Ovis aries: one gene and its partners. The protein of the gene in region 1 purifies or fractionates together with the protein of each later gene. This does not show direct contact. Links are inferred from orthologs where the notes say so. Each region holds a gene or a part of one and is shown on either strand. Other genes may lie near its edges.

Region 1 (3,651 bases):
AATAAACTGGTTAAGACCACTTGTTTAGTTGGTTACAGCAAATGTAACTTTTTTCAAATTTTATCCAAAAGCTTTCTTCATTTAAGATAATTTATTCCCAATAAAATAGGTTACGACTAGGTACTTTTTACTAGAATAATCTATAATAAAACTTAATGTAAGAGTAGGCATTAACCAGGGGCCAACAAGGAAGTTTCAGTAAATGGAAACTTCTCTTGGATGAGGGTGACTAGCTTTGAACAGATTTTTCAAGAGGACTCAAACTCTTTCATCGCCAATAAGAAATTAAAAATTATAGCAATCGTTACAGAAGCAAATAATAATTTAAACTTGCTATGTATCTCATGTTCAATCCTAAACCATTACTGTTTATGTAAAACTGCATGAATGGTAACAAATATACAAGTAAATACCAATAACCAATAACTAAATGAGTTGCTTCTCTTTAGCCATACATTACTAACACAGGTACTACTACATACTGCTAACTTCTTGGCAAAGAGTAGATTAATAACAACTAAATCACAAGATAAATATAGTTGATATCAGAGCTAACATAACTACATGGGCAGGAATTAACTTTAAATCATTCTGGACAAGGGAGCGGCTTCTATTTTTAAAGCTCTTCTGGGAAAAGAACACCAAAGGTCTATCCTTAGTAATCGTTTTCATTAGGCAAAGTTTCATAGCAAAAGGATCAGTCACATTTTAAACTGACCTGTTTGCACAGTCATTTCTTGCTTGGCACATCTTGCTGGTCAAGAGAAGAGCCCTTACCTAGGATAAACGTCACCGAAGACATGACCCAATAGCTGGACGCGAGCCAAGTAGCCTAGGAGTGGATACACAGTCATCATCTGGAACAGCAGGAATATTCTTGCAATGAAGGACAGGATGTCACTGCTAGGGAAGTTGTCTAAAAAATTCTAATCCAAGAAAGATAATAAAGTAATGTTACAAATCAAATTTAATATATACAAATTTATAAAATGGAATTTTTTTGCTTATTTTGAACACAGGTGCCACCCAAATTGTATGGTTTCGTGGGCTGGTGCCCGTTCACAAACTATTTGCTATTACTCTTCAATAGCTAAGCACAGAAATTAAAAGTAAGTATTTAGAAACTTAAAGACATTTGACATTGGCATATTTTTGTTTTACAAAAGTATCAATCTGCAATTGATTTGACATTGAAACAACAACAAAGAAGACTTTGTTTACCACTGATAGTTTGAGAAGTAATGCTCTGTTAGTATATGAGGTTTAAGTATAAATTTGTTTCAATGCTATTTCATTCTCAATGATTCTCTTACTTTTTCTCCTCTGATGCACTGTAGCATTTTTAAAGATTATAGCATAAAGTGAGAGTATATCTATTACTTACTATCACTATTATCTATAGTCTATCAATAAAAAGAAAAGAAATTTTTTTCTACTTCCTTTCATGATTCTGTTCTCCATTTTCATTTGGCATCTAAGAAAAAGAAAGCCAATTACTCAGATTTTTTTTCCCTTTCAAATACAAATACCACAGATATTCTTATTCCCAAGGGAGTGGGCTTTATATGGGATTTTTCATATCAGGGGAATTTTCAGCAAACATTTGGCTGCCAAAGAACTTTTGGAATCAAGGAAATCAAGAGAACATTTCAAACTATCAAAAGAGCAATAACTCAAATCTATTTATCTTGAAAAGATGAGAACATTATTGCCACTATTATGCTGAAATAACTTTTATAATTCATAGGTAATAAATCATATTTTGTCTCCACTACACTCTTTTAGAGGAATTTCTTCTGACTGGAATGACAATCACCTGTGAATGCTACTTTCTCTGAGAACTTCTTAAGTCACATAAAACTAGAGATTATGCTATTCCCAGGTTTATGATGGGTCAAATCAAATAACAAATATTATTTATGGCAGCCTTTTAGTAAAAGAATGTTTCTTTTATTCTTTCTGTCTCTTCCTCTGTCTTTTTAAGAAATAGTCTTTCTTTGCTTTTATGCTTGCCACCTAGACCAAAATGAGTGTCAAATCTATTATCAGGGACTGATGAATTAAGAAACCAGTTTATTCAGGACATTTCGATCTGGACTTTAGAAAATCAGGGAACTGAATATAGTCTCTGTGAGGGTTTATAAATTCAAGACTGCTACTAGCATAATTATCCACACACAGAGAAAAATAAGCAAATAACAGGAATCATTTATTTGAGTACCACAGGTGCCAGCATACAGAAGGTTTTCTGAGAGACCTTCTAAAATCTATGGAGTATCTATTATGATATTTAATGGAAGAAGAAACTGAAGCTCACAAAGAATGGGGAAGGTGCCTGAATTCCCACATGTATGAAAATAGAAGAGACTGGATTCAAACCCAGGCCTGTCTGGTAGTATACATTGCTACTGTATCATACTGTTTGCCCTGCAGATATGAAGGTATAAACAATCACACAGAGAGGGTACACAGTGCCTTACCTGCTCTATACAATCTTTGGATAATGGTGGTGAAGGAAATGAAGCAAAAACCAAGACTCCAATATAGAGATAAGTTAATGTCACCAGCATATAAGCAATGGACAAGTCCCTCACCTGTAAACAGAGAATAAAATTCCCACAATGATGAATAAATTTTTAGTAAGTATGTCTGAATAGGCTAAAAAATAAGTGAAAATGAAGTCGCTCAGTCGTGTCCAACTCTTTGTGACCCCATGGACTGTAGCCCACCAGTCTCCTCCGTCCATGGGATTTTCCAGGCAAGAATACTGGAGTGGGTTGCCATTTCCTTCTCCAAAATAATAAGACTGACAAATAAATGTAATATTTATCTTTTTGCTCTCTCTGTGTAAATATACATCTCCTAGGTATCCAGGTTGCTCAGAGACATTTGTTAAAACAAAATTCACATACTTAACAACTAGTCTGACAACTTTTTAAAAACTATCTGGAGTATGAAGACTAAGTTATCTGCTGGCAGGCTTAGAAAGTTAACATAAATGGTGGTTTATCATGATTGAAATTTGGACTTAATTTTGAAATGCAATTTATTTACCAAATTATAAAATATTTAACTAAAAAAATAAAGCTAAGGGACAACAAGAAATCAAGAATAGGCTGCTTTCTGTATGACCTATGGAATTAAAAAAATTTTTTTTCTTTTAGTGAATTAACTTTGTAGATCATCAAAGCATACCTAGACCAAAAGAGACTGGTATATATTAAAATATATTTAATAAAGTACGAAAGCTAGTTAAAAAGCAGACAGTAAGCAGGTATTAAAGACAAGCTTAATAAACCTAAATAGTAAACAAAAGGAAATCAAAAGGCAGCTGTTCAAACAGCTGCACAATGTTATGATTGGAGCCAGTAAACAAATGCAGAACATTAAATAAAGTGGATTGCTTTCTTCCACTGCTGTTCCCACCCTCCCAACCATCCCCATGCAAAGTAAAAAGCTCCAAGATATTTAATGGAGCCAGCTGTTTGATCCAAACAGAACAGATCCCACAGCTCATAAATCTGGTCTCCATCACCACAAAAGTTATGGCCAAACAATTCAGCACAACTAAATTATGGCAATAAGCTTATTCATTTTTCATTTTAAACACAAATTACTTTGAAAGCTAAAAAAACAGATAAGAAAAAAATT
Region 2 (4,224 bases), on another chromosome or scaffold:
ACGCACCTTCCCCCAGCCCGGGAGAGGGAAGGGAGCAGAGAGTTAGTGGGTTATGGGGGCCTCAGTGGGGGTCGCACACAAACTGGCTAGGATCCAAAGCCAAAGGAATTCAACAGGTCAAAGCTCAGAGATTAGAAGATGGGAGGTCTCCATTAAATCCCCTCCCTTCTCTTGCTTTTCTCATAGTTCTGATACAGGGGTAAATACCACAGGGAAGACAAGGATTCCAGAGGAGATGGTGGGCAGCTGGTAGGAGACAGGTGTCTTTCCCTGAGAAGAGTGGCCTTGGGGAGCAGCACCCCACCCCCCTTCCCCACTACCAGAGGCCGGGGCTCACCCGACAGACGCTTGAAGGGTACGCTCATGCCTTGGTGCAGCCGGAAACCGCAGGCCGTGCTGACGAGCTCAGAGATGGCGCTGGCAGCCTGCTCGTCATTCTCCAGATCCCCGGATGACTGCACACAGAGGGAGGGGGGCAGGAATCAGGGACAGACTGGGAAGCAACTCCAAGAACCCTTCTGTGTAACCTGTCTCCACTTTCCAACACTGCAACATCACCCCTAGTATTGGAAAAACTTAAAACTTTCCTATGATATTGTTGCCCCTCTTGATGCCATCTTGTTCCAAAATACTGGGCTTCCCTGAGGAAGTAGGAACTCTCATCCATTTCTGTCCATTACTGACCCTGTTTCCCCAATCCCTGAATCTTCATTTCTCTCCCTGTCTCCACTTATTTGAAAAAAATCACATTCTTACAGATTAGTGCCCACCCACCACAGCTAGAGTCCCAGGCTCCATCTTTTCCCATTTCTCATTTGTCACCCTGTCTGCAGAACCTGAAACATAAACATCCCTTTTCTCTCTGAACCCCTTCGGACTACCTGGCCCTTGAATAATGACGTCACAGTGGCCTGGGCTTCCTCTTTTCTGGTAATGATCTCAACTTCTTACCTCCTCAAGGTGGCCCTCCTGCTGGATTCTATACCTGTTTCCTCATCTGTAAACTGGGGACATCAGTACCTATCTTACGTGCTTGTGAGTGTCACAAGAGTACTGGGGCAAGATGCTCAGATTAGCTCCTGGCATTATCTATTTAACGGCTATTCAGTTCAGTTCAGTTGCTCAGTTGTGTCTAACTCTTTGCAACCCCATGGACCGCAGCATGCCAGGCCTCCCTGTCCATCACTAACTCCTGGAGTTTACCCTATTATTCTATATCAAACTTAGTGTTTAAAGCTGCACTATCAAAATCCCCCCTATCTCTCCCCCTCTCCAGTCAACTTCCTTTCTTAAGTCCCTGCTGGTTAAGGCACCATCATTCTAGGCTTGAGGTCAAAGTCTTACAGGATAGAAAAGTATCCCCTTTATTACTGAACTCTAGTCATTACAAAGACAAACCAATTCTTCCTTTAAAAACCCCTTCTCTCCTTGCTTCTCATTGCAACCAGAGGTTTCATACCTACATTTTGGCAACAGCATCCCCGCTTTTGAATCCTGCCCCTTCTGTCTTACCTTTACGCCTAACAGAACAATGCTACTCAATCACTTCATCAGCTTGTTTCTGTTCAAAAACCCTTCAAGATTAATCCAAATGTGTTAACCTAGCCTTGAAAGTCCTTCACAATCGGACCTTTCCTCACCATATCCTCTTCTTCCCCCAAATGTTTCCAAATCTTTTCAACATAACCCCATCACCAATTCAGATAGGCTGGTGTTACACTCCTGCAAAATGTCCACCTCCCAACTCTGAATATTCTTTCTTTCCTGTCATCCATCCATCTTTTAAGCCCAGATGAATTCTTACCTCGTCCAAGGAAGGTTCCTTGCCAAAACACAAGTTATAGTATGAAGGGCTGAATCCTTCACTTTCTGGACTCCTTCAGCTGCGTTAACCACATGCACTACTTTGAACTTTTAGCCTTAAGCCTTGTCTCTAGCTAGATTGAAAACTTCTAGAGCTGACACTGTATTGTACTACAGAACAAAATACCAAGCCTCTTCAATAAATACCAAATAAAGACATACTCAAGAGTAACTTGGGGATTGTCAGTTATCAACAAACCTGTAACTTGCTTGACTTTGGTAAAGTCAGTAAACCTCTTTTACCTCAGGATAGTTACAAGACTGAGAGTCCAGAGATTGATTAATTGATTTAATTCCTACACGCCAGGCGTGATACCAGGGAAAGACAAGAACAGAGACCAATCGGGCCAAACAGGGCAACATTAGAAGGCATCCTAGAGTCATGTGTACTTGGAGCACCCCCCCTCCCGTTTCCAGAACGCACCGCCAGCACCGCGCCTTCACTCAGCACCAGGTAGCCAAGCTGGTCGGGGATTCGCTCCAGCCCCTGAGTCAGTGCCGAAGTCTGGTGGGTAAAGATGCAATTAGTGAGCAGTAGGCCGAAAGGATGGCCCTTGGGCAACCAGAGTGCCTCTCTTGACAGTGCCCCCTGCCCCCGCTCCAGGCCTCTTTACCCAGCCAGGGCCCTTCCAGACCCTCTTCCCTCTACACGGCCTTCAACACTGATGCTCCTGAGCCTCCGTCAGTCCTCTCCTCCGCCCGGGCGCCACCAGCTTTCCACACGTCACCTTTGCTACCCCAAGGGCCCCCTCCCCAAACGCACCTGTGGCCTGCGCCTCCCCCTCAGACTAGTCCCCAGCTTCTACACACCCTCCCAGCGACTTCTCCTTGGCCTTCTACGTCACCACCCCTCCCTTCTCCATTTCCTTCCAGTCCCAGGGAGAATAGGAGGTGAGGCCGGAGGGCACGCTCAGGACCCCGCAACCAAAGAGATTGGGGGACAGGGGTAAGGAACCGCCGGCGCGGCGCGTAACTCCGCGCATGCGTCCTCACTTACCATCGCAGCTCTAGGTGCTGGGGGAGCTTGTAGCCAGACCTAGTTCCGGCTCCAGACCGCGGTCACGTGCTTCCACCCAGCGGTCTCCTCCTCCGGCCCTGCCCTGCCCGACTTTAGTCCCGCCCCCAGGATGCCGATTGGAGAGTGGCTACGTCATCAGACTTACTCTGCCAGTGCGGAGCGCCGCTTCCGAGACGCTCGCGCATTGGCCGCACATCCTCTTGAACATTCATCTCCCTTCCCCTTAGCCCCAGAGCGCGAAGGAGGGGGGCGTGTCGGCGGGGGGCGGGTCTGGAGGCGGGGCCGGAGGGAGGCCGGGCTGAGAGTTTGCGCCTGCGCACACGGGGGCGGCGGGGGCAGACTCCAACAAGGCTAGGTGGCTCGCAAGTGGAATCCTGAGCGAGCCAAAAGACGTAGATAGAGAGCTATTCAGATGCTACTCTTGTGCCTACTTCAGGCAGCTCTCTGACAGGAATTTGTTCCAAAGCGATTTTTCGTCCCGGGATTCTGTAAGAAACTGTGTGATAGAGCATTATACCTCCCTAGTCCATGGGGCGCTAACGGTCGGACACGACTGAGCGACTTCACTCTCACTTTTCACTTTCATGCATTGGAGAAGGAAATGGCAACCTACTCCAGTCTTCTTGCCTGGAGAATCCCAGGGACGGGGAAGCCTGGTGGGCTGCCGTCTATGGGTCGCAGAGTCGGACAGGACTGAAGCGACTTAGCAGCAGCAGCAGCAGCCAAGGCAGCTGCAATACTGAATATTCTCTGCCAGGAATAATTAGAAAATGACCTTGGGGTAATTTTTTAAATATATGAGTGTCATTTAGAAATTTTTTGTTTTAATTTAAGTAGTTTTTAGACCTGCTGCAATATTAATGTGAGGCAAAATGATGATAAACTAATAAAAAAGCTTGATGAGGATTTGGAGACATTGGGGCTCTCATACATTGCTGGTAGGGATGTAAAATAGTGCAGTTGTAGTGGGAAACAGATTGGTGGTTCCTCTGAAAGTTAAATAGAGTTACTATATTTATAAATGAAAGTTAAATAGGACCTAAAAATTCCACTCCTTCATACATACCTAAGAGAACTGAAAACTATGTTTACACAAAAACTTGTACACAGATGTTATGGCAGCATCACTCATAATCGCCCCCAAATGGAAAGCAACCCAAATATTCATAAACTGAAGACCAGATAAAGCAATGCGGCATATCCATACAATGGAACATTGTCCAGTTGTAAAAAGGAGTGAAGTACTGATCTATGCTATCACACAGATAAACCTTGAAAACATGCTAAGTGAACCAGAGATCAAATTACCAACATCCACTGGATCATCGAAAAAGCAAGAGAGT
Region 3 (3,651 bases), on another chromosome or scaffold:
AAAAAGACCTTTTCCTGACCCAATTTTAATGAACTTTATCAAAAAACAGATAGATAGCAAAGAAATAATCAGATACTTATTATATAAATTCAGTAAAGCTAAGGCACAAATGGATATTTCAAAGGCAAAAATGTTTTAAAGATGCCTCACAGGACTATAAAACACACACTGAAAGAAGCAAGCTAATCTAGAAATCAGCACATCCAGCTTGTTAGTTTCCTAGGGTAGAAGGCTATATATCTTAAATACTGCTTGTTTTTTGCTCAACTAAAGATCTTCTTGTCTCACACAGCATTCAAAGCACCTGGGATTCACAAGGAAATGTTCTACGTACTAGAATACAATTCTGGAGATTATCATAATTTATAACAACTGATGATTTTATAGTATGATAGTGATTTACCACAACTGAGGTTTAACATATTTAAAATACCGACACCACTACTATCCTATACAAAGAGTTTTCACATACAGTATTTTACGGTTGAAAACATTTAGAAATGAAAGACACCCAACAGTTCATTAAATCTAAACCCCACATTTTAAACATGAGCAATCTAAATACAGGCTTCAGTGATACAGTCAGAAACAAAACTGGCTCAAATATCTTGGAAAGAAAAAAACAGAACAGAAAAGTAAAGCAGTGCTAACAGTGGTGAAACCTGGAGACAGACCTTTAAAAAATTCCACTTAAACTAAAACAGAGTAAAAAAAAAAATTGTAATTCAACTGAATACTGTTATGATTTTACACAAAAATAGCCAGTGAAGACCACTGGATATAATGAGATCTTACAATGCTCTCTAGAAAGTACAGCTTCCAAGTGTTAGCCCTCAAATTCTTCCACTTTGAAAAAAAATTGAGTATATTCATACTAGTCACACTCTTTAAATTCCCAAACACATTTACCTTGCCCACTATTGTTCAAAATTTTATAGATCGGTCCTTATGGACCTGAATTCATCTGTGATCATTTTTATGTTTTGTTTGGTTATTTTCTCCACTGATTTTTTTTTTTTTCTGGCTTTCTGAAACTGTTGTAATGTGAGCAAGATACTGTATTAAAGAGGTGAAAATAACATTTAATTTTCCTATCGTAAATGATCACTTATCTATACATCATCTCATCTGAACTAAAAAAATAATAGCATAAGATCAAGAAAGCAGTTCTTAGCTCCATTATACAGATATAAACAATACAATATTTGTTTATATAAATAATTGTTTATAATATATAAACAATTCAGAGAAGTTATATTTCCAGAAAACAAGGAATAGATGGTAGCGCTGGGCCATGCATTAAGGTTTTCTTACTCTAAATCTGTATTCATATCATATTAGACTGTTCAGATCCGGTATTATAAAGATTAAAAGCTGTATTTAAGGTAATTAAAACATACCTGTATTAGCATTGCTGCTGGCTATGAAACTCACTACCAAAGGTAAACGATTGAATTGAACCACCTAAAAAGAGAACAAGATCTAAAGTATAATGTTATATAGTGAAAAAGTGGTATAATTCAAATCAAATATCTTAATCTTTCTAAAAACTTTAAATGTGTAAGATACTAGCTTGACATCATGGTATTACGTCATGAAAGGTGAAAGAGCTGAAAATAAGTATTTCCGTAAAACAGACTTACTAATTATCTCTTAGAGACATTAATATCACTTAGTCTGGAAAGTTTCTAAGGTGGGGCTGTGTCTTCCTCATCTTTTTTTATCTTCTAAAGCCCTGCAAAGTGTCAATTACATAGTAGGGGCTCAATAAATATTTGATAATTAAGGAGCTAAAGGCATTATTTCTCAGTCATTCAAGTGGTTATAACGTCTCAATCTTTTGCCTCCTCTGTACCACTATAATTTAAATTAACTTACATTTAAGTTAACTTAAAATCAGCTATCTTTTTAAAAAATTTAGCTTCAACCTAACCTTTACTGACTAAATTAAAGGTCAGATGAGCTGGTTATCTTCTGCCTAATAGATACTAAAATACATAACCTTTAAAATAAAAAGTAACACATATGTATCATTGGTAGTGCATGACTTACACCCTGGGAAACTCTGCTCTATGGAAAGCAGTGTATGCTCAATTGCTCAATACTGGAGTGAGTTGCCATGTCCTACTCCAGGGGATCTTCCCGACCCAGGAACTGAAACAGTGTCTCTCATGTCTCCTGCACTGGCAGGCAGATTCTTTACTACTGTGAAGAAGTTACTGATTCATTCTAAAGAAAATACAGCTGGCGATCAAGAGATCTGTAGCAACTAATTTCTCTCCCACAAATAATAACCTCATTTATTTTATATATTTATATAATCAAGCCAAAAGATGGGATTAGTAGCAATAACAAATGTAAATAACTATCGTTTGACTTTCAAGGAAAATCCTGTATCTGTCACAACAACAACCACTGTGTCATTTGAGAAATCACAGTTGTTAAATAAGCTAAGGGCACCATCTACTGGAGGTATTAATAACAGTGACCTGACTTACCCTTTTGAGGATAATATATATTTTACTATTCAATCTTTTAATCTAATTGTTCATATTAATTCCTGAAGTAAAATGTGAAAAAAAATCACTACAGTTTAACATAACCAATTTGAAGGTGAAGATGTTAAAATTCCATCACTTTGGAAACCAAAATTTAGAATTATTAAAACAAACTATTCTACAAAGAAGAGAGAATAATAGTTGAAATCATCAGCAAACCATTTGATAATTATGAACTTACCTGGTAGGTGTTATAGTAACAGATGATACTTTTATTTTTTGAAAGTCCGAGTTTGCTCCCTTGGTCTGTCGCAAGGGCAAAAGTTGATAAGAAACCAGGTCTCAAAGCATGCTCTGGAGCATTATCATTGGCCACTGGAAATACAAGTGATTTAAGTAAAAATTATGTAGGATATACAGCGAGAAGACATTTAGAGTATTTAAAAAAAAAAAAACACATAAACTTGTAGAAAAAAAAAGCACAAGAGTTACGCTTCACAATGCTGAAGTTCATAATACTAATTGGGTCTCATCAGTTTAGGTGAGAAAAACCATTCAATCACAACTAAGGGAAAAAATACTGGTTCTCACAATTTTTCAAAAAATTTCAAATGAATACTAACCATCTCTATCTTCTTAATATCTAACTTAAAACAGGTTATGATTATCAGTACAATTAATAAGTTGAATATTCTGGTTAACTATGAGCTAAGTGAGAATATTGGAAAAAAGCTTTTAACCTTTGCTCTTACAAAACCCACAGAAGCATCATTTGTAGATGATGATAATTCTACACCTGGCCACTGATTTAAGTTTTTTATACTCACTGAAAGGTCTATGTGGAGTTGGTTGTACCGTAAGTGCTGAGCTTAAGGTTTTAACAGAGATCCTCAAAAAGAACACTGGAGCTGGAAAATCTGAGATTATTTTGTTCAAAGTCCTCGTTATGGAACTGAGAAAAGGAAGTGATTTGCCCATGGCTACCTATGTTCTGTGCTGGGTTAGGAAGCATACTGGATCACATATCAGAAGATGATGGGTTCTATGACCATCTTGTCACTGACTCATGAGCAACTTGGAGCTGACAATCTACTCTTTGCACTTGACCATTTTCATTAATAAAATGAAAGAACTATATTAGCTAACTTCTAAA

Evidence for each region.
Region 2: the proteins of SLC38A9 (region 1) and LAMTOR4 purify together in Homo sapiens (affinity purification with mass spectrometry; 4 studies listed by BioGRID and IntAct, with this or other methods). This does not show direct contact. The link is inferred for Ovis aries from reciprocal best matches to the Homo sapiens genes SLC38A9 and LAMTOR4.
Region 3: the proteins of SLC38A9 (region 1) and LAMTOR3 purify together in Homo sapiens (affinity purification with mass spectrometry; 3 studies listed by BioGRID and IntAct, with this or other methods). This does not show direct contact. The link is inferred for Ovis aries from reciprocal best matches to the Homo sapiens genes SLC38A9 and LAMTOR3.

What each region holds. Positions count from the first base shown.
Region 1 is NC_056069.1:23,717,280-23,720,930, reverse strand, and holds part of SLC38A9 (neutral amino acid transporter 9), read right to left. Parts: intron 2,595-3,651; coding exon 2,481-2,594; intron 927-2,480; coding exon 778-926; exon of another isoform or gene 719-777; intron 1-718.
Region 2 is NC_056077.1:36,680,821-36,685,044, forward strand, and holds the start of LAMTOR4 (ragulator complex protein LAMTOR4), read right to left. Parts: upstream 2,919-4,224; 5' UTR 2,864-2,918; coding exon 2,861-2,863; intron 2,369-2,860; coding exon 2,288-2,368; intron 456-2,287; coding exon 153-455; 3' UTR 1-152. UniProt on the Homo sapiens protein: As part of the Ragulator complex it is involved in amino acid sensing and activation of mTORC1, a signaling complex promoting cell growth in response to growth factors, energy levels, and amino acids.
Region 3 is NC_056059.1:25,128,205-25,131,855, reverse strand, and holds part of LAMTOR3 (ragulator complex protein LAMTOR3), read right to left. Parts: intron 2,874-3,651; coding exon 2,740-2,873; intron 1,465-2,739; coding exon 1,401-1,464; intron 1-1,400. UniProt on the Homo sapiens protein: As part of the Ragulator complex it is involved in amino acid sensing and activation of mTORC1, a signaling complex promoting cell growth in response to growth factors, energy levels, and amino acids.